2 linked regions of the Drosophila melanogaster genome follow. The protein of the gene in region 1 interacts with the protein of each later gene in a pairwise test. Each region holds a gene or a part of one and is shown in the gene's direction. Other genes may lie near its edges. The genes, in order: Nha2 and woc.

Region 1 (3,921 bases):
CGCTCCGGTGCAGCTGGCCGGAGATTAGGGCATCCGGCCAGTTCCTCACCCTCCGCAATCTGGCTGCCAAGTGCGAGGTGACCATCAAAAGCAGGTAGACCCCATCATGCACCCAAGACTGGTCCCAAAACATAGGTATTCTAAGCTAATTAGCAGGTAGTAATCGTGTTTAAGAGCTTTGAGGCAAGTTTAAGAACTGATGGCTGCGAAAGCGGCGATAGAGCAAACCAAAATGCAATGAACATAAAATAAGAATAAAATGTGAAATGTATGCTTTGTAAATTATATTTGCATTTTTTCCATCGACCGCGTATTTATACGAAAAATGCAAAACGCAATTTGGAAATGTGTTTAATTTGCAATATTTTTAATTAATAAAAACATTTAGAAATGTGCTGGCCTGGCAGTTTGAAAGTCCTCGCCATTGAGTGTCCACGTTGAGCTCAACAACCTGCAGATGCTCTATAAGAGTAGCGAGCTAAATTAATGGTTTGTATGGTACTTTAATGAAAAACAAAATAAATCTTTCTGCGCCATATGCGATTCTTTTGGAATATCATGACCCATTTCAAGAGTATCTCCATTAGTCCTTGCATCCTTATGGCGGAATAATAACACCAATGTTTGTGCAAAAGAAATTGAAAAACTGAAAACTGAAAACTCAAAACAGAAAACTGAATACTGAAAACTGGTAACTAGCGCCTGTCTGTTTGCTGCCTCCTGATAATTGACTTGCATGCAAATTAATGTTTTTTGCATGTGGGCGTAAATTGCTGCCCTGTCTGACAAACAGTAAACACGGTCAATGCAGCGGCGAGTCATTTTCATCAACGCGCCGCTGCACTATACATAAATCTCTGCCCCATCGATGTTTACCATATTTAAGGAAAAAATTCCAATTTGATGCAACAAAAATCACGGCACTGTAACAACATGTGTGTGCGTGGCAAATAGAGCGAGAAAGTTGTATTATCCTTTTTGCAGCGCCCCGCACCTCACAATGTCCTGTTTTTTTTGAGCCATCATCATAGTCATCATCATCGTCGTCATAATGGCCATCTTATAGAGTGAGAGTGCAACTGCAACTCCATACAGTGCAAAAAAGTGTGTGTGCATAGTTAAAATAAATTAAATATTTTCGCAAACGACACTTTTTTTGCGCAACAACGTGTGGCACCTGATGAGGAGATGATCTGACTGGAGCACTGGATAATGGTGGTGACGTCACTGCGATTGGTTATCTTTGTCATGGGGCTGGTTTGTCCATCAGGTAAATTAAAAATATTCCAGCGAAGCAATTAAATTACAGCCACGGCGTGGGAGTGGCCACGGCGCCCAATATGATGAGCAACGTCAAAATGCAAATTGTCAGAAAAACAATTTGCAAGACAAGCGAAACTCTTTTTACTTCAAGGAAATATAATTGCTTTCCAAGCTCACAAAAATTAATAATTAATAATAAAAACAATATAAGGTAGTTTTTTTTTTAATACCATGTAAACGCAGCTGGCAAACTAAAGCGCCATCTATGGCACAGAATTGCCGCCCCAATGATAGAGCTCAAATGGGGCAGGTCGCGCACATTTCCCTAAAAAAAAGTGAAAGCGTTTAATCATTCCGACACTCACACATGGGAAATGCGCTATGATTAGAGGTCTATTAATAACGCGGCTATTCGGCGCCTTATCTAGTTCAGATAAATTATGATTACATGACAATTATTTATCAGCTAATTGGCTGCGCCTTAGAAAACTATGGGCATATTGAATCGCAGATAAACGAACCCCTTATAAATATGTAAGTGCTTCCAAACAGACCCCACCCCCACCCCTCATTTCACCCAACCCAGAAACCAACTCATTCCGCACTTTTCGCTCGACAGCAATGAAAACAGAAGGTTCGCCTTCCGCAGAGCTTGTTTGTTTGCCAATTAGTTTTAATCGAAGAGCGCTCGCTGGAGCTGCGCGAATCGGCAATTGCTTGTTTAAATGGCTTTTGCTTTTCTAATTAATGCGTTTGGCAAATATTTGCCAGTGCATGAGCTGTAATAAAAAGAAGCTCCAAGTGCTCAAGTTCCGGGGCTACTACACTATTTCATTCCGCCTTTCCGCCGGTCGTGTCGCGCGTGTTCCGTTCCCTGCATATACTATACTATATACTATATATCCACTCGATTCGCAGCTAACCAATCTCTTCAAACCGCGGCGTTTCTCTTTGGCACTCGTCAATTTTGAGCCAAGAATAGCCATTTGGACTACGTCATCGTACTGATTGCGTCAGCAGTTGTCGCTCTTTGGCATTATTTTCCGCGTTTTTTTCACTCAATCACTCAGTTTTGTTTTGTTCTCTGGATTTCGCCGACATTCGACATGAGCAGCGATTCCGGTAAGCGATTCTGGCAGCTTTCGATACTCACTTTCGGCGTTAATTTACGAGTTTATGGTTAATCAATTAAATGCCACTTTTTGCCCAAGTGCCAATAAATAAATCGTGTGCAAATATGTTCGGGCTTCCACAAGTCAAATTGTTGGGAAATTAACTCTTTTATTTATATACTTGGGACTGGAAAATAAGAATGGTAGAATGGAATTATCAATATTTTTTGTTTGATTAGCAACCCTTCGGCTTTATCTATCATGCGTAATTAAAAATGTTACCAAATAGCTTGAGTCAATTTTTTTTGTGGGAAAAAAGTATGAATATAAAGCGATTTTAATTTTAATATCATACAAATTAATTTATATATATATATATATTTTTTTTTAGATATATTGGATGTAGTGGCAGGCAGTGAGGGTCCACCCTTGCAAGCCTTTCGCAGCAGCAATCCCTTCGAGGACTCGTATCAAATGTCCTCCTGCCAGCAAGATTTCGAACGCGATCGTGATGCGAACTTGACTCCATTGCATATGCTGCGTCGAGCCAGCGAAACGGTGACCGCCAGCATCCTGGAGCCGGAAAAGGAGCACCTCCTTGGCGACAAGCCACAGGTGCCCCCTCGTGCCCATGGAAGCACCGCGCCAAGCGCCATCGAAGGTGAGTGATATGTTTAATTGCACCGCGTCGTCATGGGGAAATTCGAAAAATGCGGAACGAAAGTATTTGTTACGGAAATTCTTGCCTTTATGCAACCAGCTCCCCGGATCAGTGTGCACACAACCCGCAGACAGGACGGCAAAAAGGATGCTGAAGACAGAGACATCCAGTGGAACAGCTCCATGCCAACGCTTTGTTGGCCAGCCAAGCGAAGTGGCTCCGACAGCCAAGTGCACAATGCGTGCTCAGATATGCACATATGCACTTCAGCACATATACGAGTATTCATAGTTTGTTTATGCAAAGTTTTTGTTTCGCCGTCGAGATATCCTGGCAGAATCACAGCTTTTTCTCTCAACTGGCAGGAGCTGATTGAGGCATTTCGATTTTAAGTGAACCGCACAATCACATCTTGCACAAGATGGCGAAGGCGGGCGGGGGACACAGGGGCGTATACGTAATATTTCCGCATATTGACGACAGAGTGTCTGCGATTGACAGTCCAGTGCATCTACCGTCCCGGCTCAAACTCAAAGGCAGGCATTTCCTACACATTCCTTCTGATTTCTGGAAATATGCAAGGCTGTGCCCTGCTGGCCATGTGTGTGGACCACTTTCGTTGGCCGAGCTTTTTGTTTACGCTCCTCTGTTTTGGCAGGTGGCCCTTGCTGGTTTTTCGCCCACAGCCGAGTAGCTAGTATTTTTGAAACTCCCAGAGCAGCAATTGTTTTGCATCTGTTCAAATGCGGGTTTTCGCACCAGTCCATTGTACAACTTTTTGGGAGAATTGGGGAGAACTTCCCTTTGGGCCATCGCAATTGTGGCATTTTCACACGAATAATGAGCCAGTTTAGTTGCGCCCAAATGCCCGCAATCATACAACTA
Region 2 (3,921 bases), 4.3 Mb from region 1:
TTTGTTTTTCGATCCCTAATCCAATAAATGATCCCTCTAGATATGTACACCATCCTGTCTATTTCCTTGGGTGGTAAGCAAACCTATCTATTCCTCCGGCGAAGGTTTTTCTTCTTCGGGCACAACTATGGTGCCATCCACTTCGAAGAGAACGTGACCGAACAACTGGGTTACCTCAACGAGCTGCTGGAACTGCTCCATGTCCTCGTAGCGCAGGTTGTTCACATCCTGGTAGTTCTTCAGCGAGGTCAGCAGTTCGTGATCGGAGAGATCTCCATCCTTTTTCAGGATTATCATCAGAGCCTTTAGCTCCTTAACACTCAGCTTGAGGAACGAGTTGTCCATGAGCACCTGCGTGGCTACGGGGAGGATTTTCTGGAATGGTATGGGGATTAAGCGAGATAAAAGTGCGGAAATTCATACTTTCGCCACGAGATCCATCAGTGCCGGATGGTGGTGCTCGCTGGCCAGGTGGAAGACCTGCAGAACCACCTCCATGGGCCACTCCTGGTGGGCCAGCTTGTCGATGTAGCAGTCGATGAAGTCCAGCATCTCGTAGCGCTCGGCCAGCAGCATGAGGTCACCGCACATGTCGATGGTCACCGCATTGCACACCTCGTACGTGTAGATGTAGAGGAGCAACGCCTCGTAGGCGGTGGGAGAGGCGTCGTCCACGCTGATCACTCGCTTGTTCTTCTGGAACTCGGGATCCCTGATCAGGCGCTCGAACTCCGCGGAGGCGGAGATGAGCATCACCTGGTGGCAGCGGAAAATGCATGGACAACGCTTGCCCTCCTTCAACTTGTCCGGTTGCGAGACATGGAGCTCGCAGTCCGACTTTTGGCCATTCCGCAACAGGTCCAGGCGGCGTAGCTTGCAGTTCATAGTGACTGGGGATTTTTTGGAGGCTTTGCTCTCACATAGCACAAAATTTGGAATTCGAAATTAGGGTTTCCCTGGCAGGAATGTCAGACTCTGAGAAGGAGGCCGCCGGCAAAGCCCACCTGGGAAGCAACAATCGGTGGTCCGACCTGGAGGAGGAGGAGGAGGGTGAGGCGAACGACCAGGGAGGGATCCAGAACTTGAGGCCGGAACTCGTTGTGCCCAGAACCACAGCTGCATCGGATGTTGAGGAGAATTTACCATTGGGTTCTCCGAGTGATGGGTCCAAACGCGCTACGAGTAGAAACCGCAGACTGGAATACTTTCGCAGTGGAGCCGATGCCGATTGCCAGGTGCACGTCCTGAGCAACTGCCCCCAATCCGATGAGCCGGCGGTCAGTGTGTGCTACAAGAAATTTGGCTGCCATCGGATCTTCCTGGCCACTGCCTCCGACAAACTGGAGCAGGACGTGTACCAGAACAAGGACTGGAACGGCGTACTCCAGATCAATGGGGTTTCGCCCGAGAGCGTGGAGATCTTCCTGGAGTTCATATACACCTTCGAGGTGACCTCGCCGCTGGTCCAGCTGAAGCTGGTGGGGGATATGTTCATCCTGTCCTGCGCGTACAACATGCCGGAGCTCCTTCGCTCCTTTGCTGAGAAACTAAAGGAGCAGGAATTGCCTCTGGATGGCATCTTTCCTGCCTTCGACCTAGCATTCCGGCATAACATCATCGATGTGGAGCGCGTTTGCATCGAGGTTAGTAGATTGGAATATAAAATGGAGCCTTAATTTAGTTAGTTATCCTTTAGAAAATCATAGAGGAAGGCGCATCATTGATCCACGAACCCAGTTTAATGAAACTCCCGGTCTATGCTCTAAACTACGCCATCCAGCACTGGCTGGTGGCGGATGCAGTGCCTCCCGATGAACTCATCACGATTTTAAAGCAGTATCAGGAGATCAATGAGATTACATTCGCCAACACGCAAAAATTCCCGCACTTCACCAAAATTATCAAGTATTTCCCCAATGTTCTTCTGGACGCCGAGGGATTCATCAATCAAAACTAGAAAACTACTTGGAATTCCCAAAAGCTTCGCGCATAAAACCCAAAAATTTAAAAAAAATAAGCCAATAAAATATCAGTTCTCATTAGCATTGTATTGGGTATCTTTTGCATATGGCAAACTGGAAGCTCATCTAAGGGGAAGCTTAGATGAAAGACAGTCTATATTTAAGTTGTAGTTTTCAATAATTTCCTATTGATCAAAAGCGATCCAAACTTTAGAAGCATTTTTCAAAAAGATAAACGAGCAGTGCTGCCAACCGGTTGCACCACTCACGCCGGTATTTTCTTATGCGCCATTTTCGGTATTTTCCGGCAGATACCAGCCAAGAAGCGAACGCGTTATGCGAGGGCCGCATTTGGTACACTAGTGCGCCATTTTACTCGCATAAAGCCGAAAATTCACACAGTGGCCAGAAAGCGAGAAATTGCACAGTGCAAAAAGGTGTTTGGTAATTGATGAAAAGTTTTGCGCGTACCGTGAACCGACCGTTAATGATGTGCCCGCACGCGCAGCGGTGAAAGGCAGTTAATTCGCCTGTGGAGACGCGCTCACCACAACAAACTCGTGCTGTCCGAAAAAAAAAGTCGGCGCTCGGATTGCGGATTATCGAAGTACCGTACGGCAAGGCAGCAAAAAAAGTACGGAAAAGCCGCCCATGCAACGCGGCCAAAAAAGATAATGCAAGTGCAGTAATATTAATTGCCTGGCAGAGCGGCGCATACAGACACACTCCTCCTTTTTTCCCCACTTTTTTTGTTCTCTGGAGGCGCATGTTTTGTTTTTTCGTGCACTGTACCGTGGGCTCAGTGTGTGTGTGTGTGCGTCGGTGTGCCTGTGCGTGTGTGTGTACACATTTTAGGCGGCAATGGTGTGGGGCCCTGGCCAGCCGATAGTCCGCCGCGCCGCGAATGTTATCGATAGACGAGCCCTAACCATTTGTTGTTTGTTTTCCTTTTGTTGCAGTTTTCATGTCTATATAAACAAACGTACAGCGAAAGTCGGTTAAAAAATCAAGCAGCGAAATGGAGGAGATATCCAGTTTGGACTCGTTCGGCGCCGATTCCAATGCGCGACCGGAGTCGGCCACCCCCAGGTCGGAGGAACAACAGGATCAGGATCGACAACAGACTGCTCCGGCGGCCAGTGAAACTCTGGATACGCCCGCCTCGCCGCCAGCGGAGGATGCAGCTGCGCAGGAAAGCAAACCGCCTCCTTCCAAGGAGGCGGATGACGACTTCGAACAGATCTCCGAGGGATCATTAGACGCCGATGATAACCAGTCGCGGGATAAGGCGGCTAGTACACCAGCTGATCCCGTGGATGCGGAGGAGCCCGCCGAGGAGCCAACGCCCAACGAGGAGCCGCAAGGCGGTGAGGATGAGCAGCCACAAACAGAAGCCGTGAGGGTAGATCCACAGGAAGAGCCCGAGGAGGCGGAGGAGGAGACTGATGCCCTCCAGGCCACTGCGGAAGAGGTGGAGGCAGCGGCCGCCGAAGCAGATGCTGTGGACGGCGGTCCCGCTTCACCCGAAGCAATGGATGTGGATGAAGGCGAGGTGGATGCAGAAGGTGAAGCTGAGCAGGAAGCAGAAGACGACGCAGCTCTGGATCGAGAGGCGACAGATGATGTAGATATGCAGTCCGTGGGCGCAGATTCACACCAGGCGGAGGATGCAGAGCCACCGGAGGGCCGAGATGAGGTGGACACAAGCTTAGAGGAGCAGGAAAATGGCCAAGATCCTGATGAACGGGAGAAAGATGCGGCCGCCGATGAAGATGATCCGGATGCAGAAGGAGATGCGGAATCGGAGCAGGTGGATGAAAATGCCGAGGAAACTGGTGAGGCCGAACATGGCGATGGTAAGTCTTAGTACTTCTTTGATGCATGTTTATAAAAGACTAAATGAATGAACTATTTACATTATAGACACAGTGGAAAATGTTTTGGAGCCAGAGGAATCAGA

The links.
Region 2: the proteins of Nha2 (region 1) and woc interact in a two-hybrid assay, tested with the Drosophila melanogaster proteins (one large-scale study listed by BioGRID).

Annotation. Positions count from the first base shown.
Region 1 is NT_033777.3:22,996,629-23,000,549, reverse strand, and holds the start of Nha2 (Na[+]/H[+] hydrogen antiporter 2), read left to right. Parts: upstream 1-2,021; 5' UTR 2,022-2,369; coding exon 2,370-2,385; intron 2,386-2,764; exon of another isoform or gene 2,765-2,766; coding exon 2,767-3,036; exon of another isoform or gene 3,037-3,921. Other genes in the region: CG34375 (uncharacterized protein), read left to right, coding at 1-98.
Region 2 is NT_033777.3:27,262,451-27,266,371, reverse strand, and holds the start of woc (without children), read left to right. Parts: upstream 1-2,316; 5' UTR 2,317-2,595; exon of another isoform or gene 2,596-2,637; intron 2,638-2,920; 5' UTR 2,921-2,979; coding exon 2,980-3,817; intron 3,818-3,884; coding exon 3,885-3,921. Other genes in the region: CG14260 (uncharacterized protein), read right to left, coding at 88-375, 424-885; CG14262 (uncharacterized protein), read left to right, coding at 966-1,643, 1,697-1,957.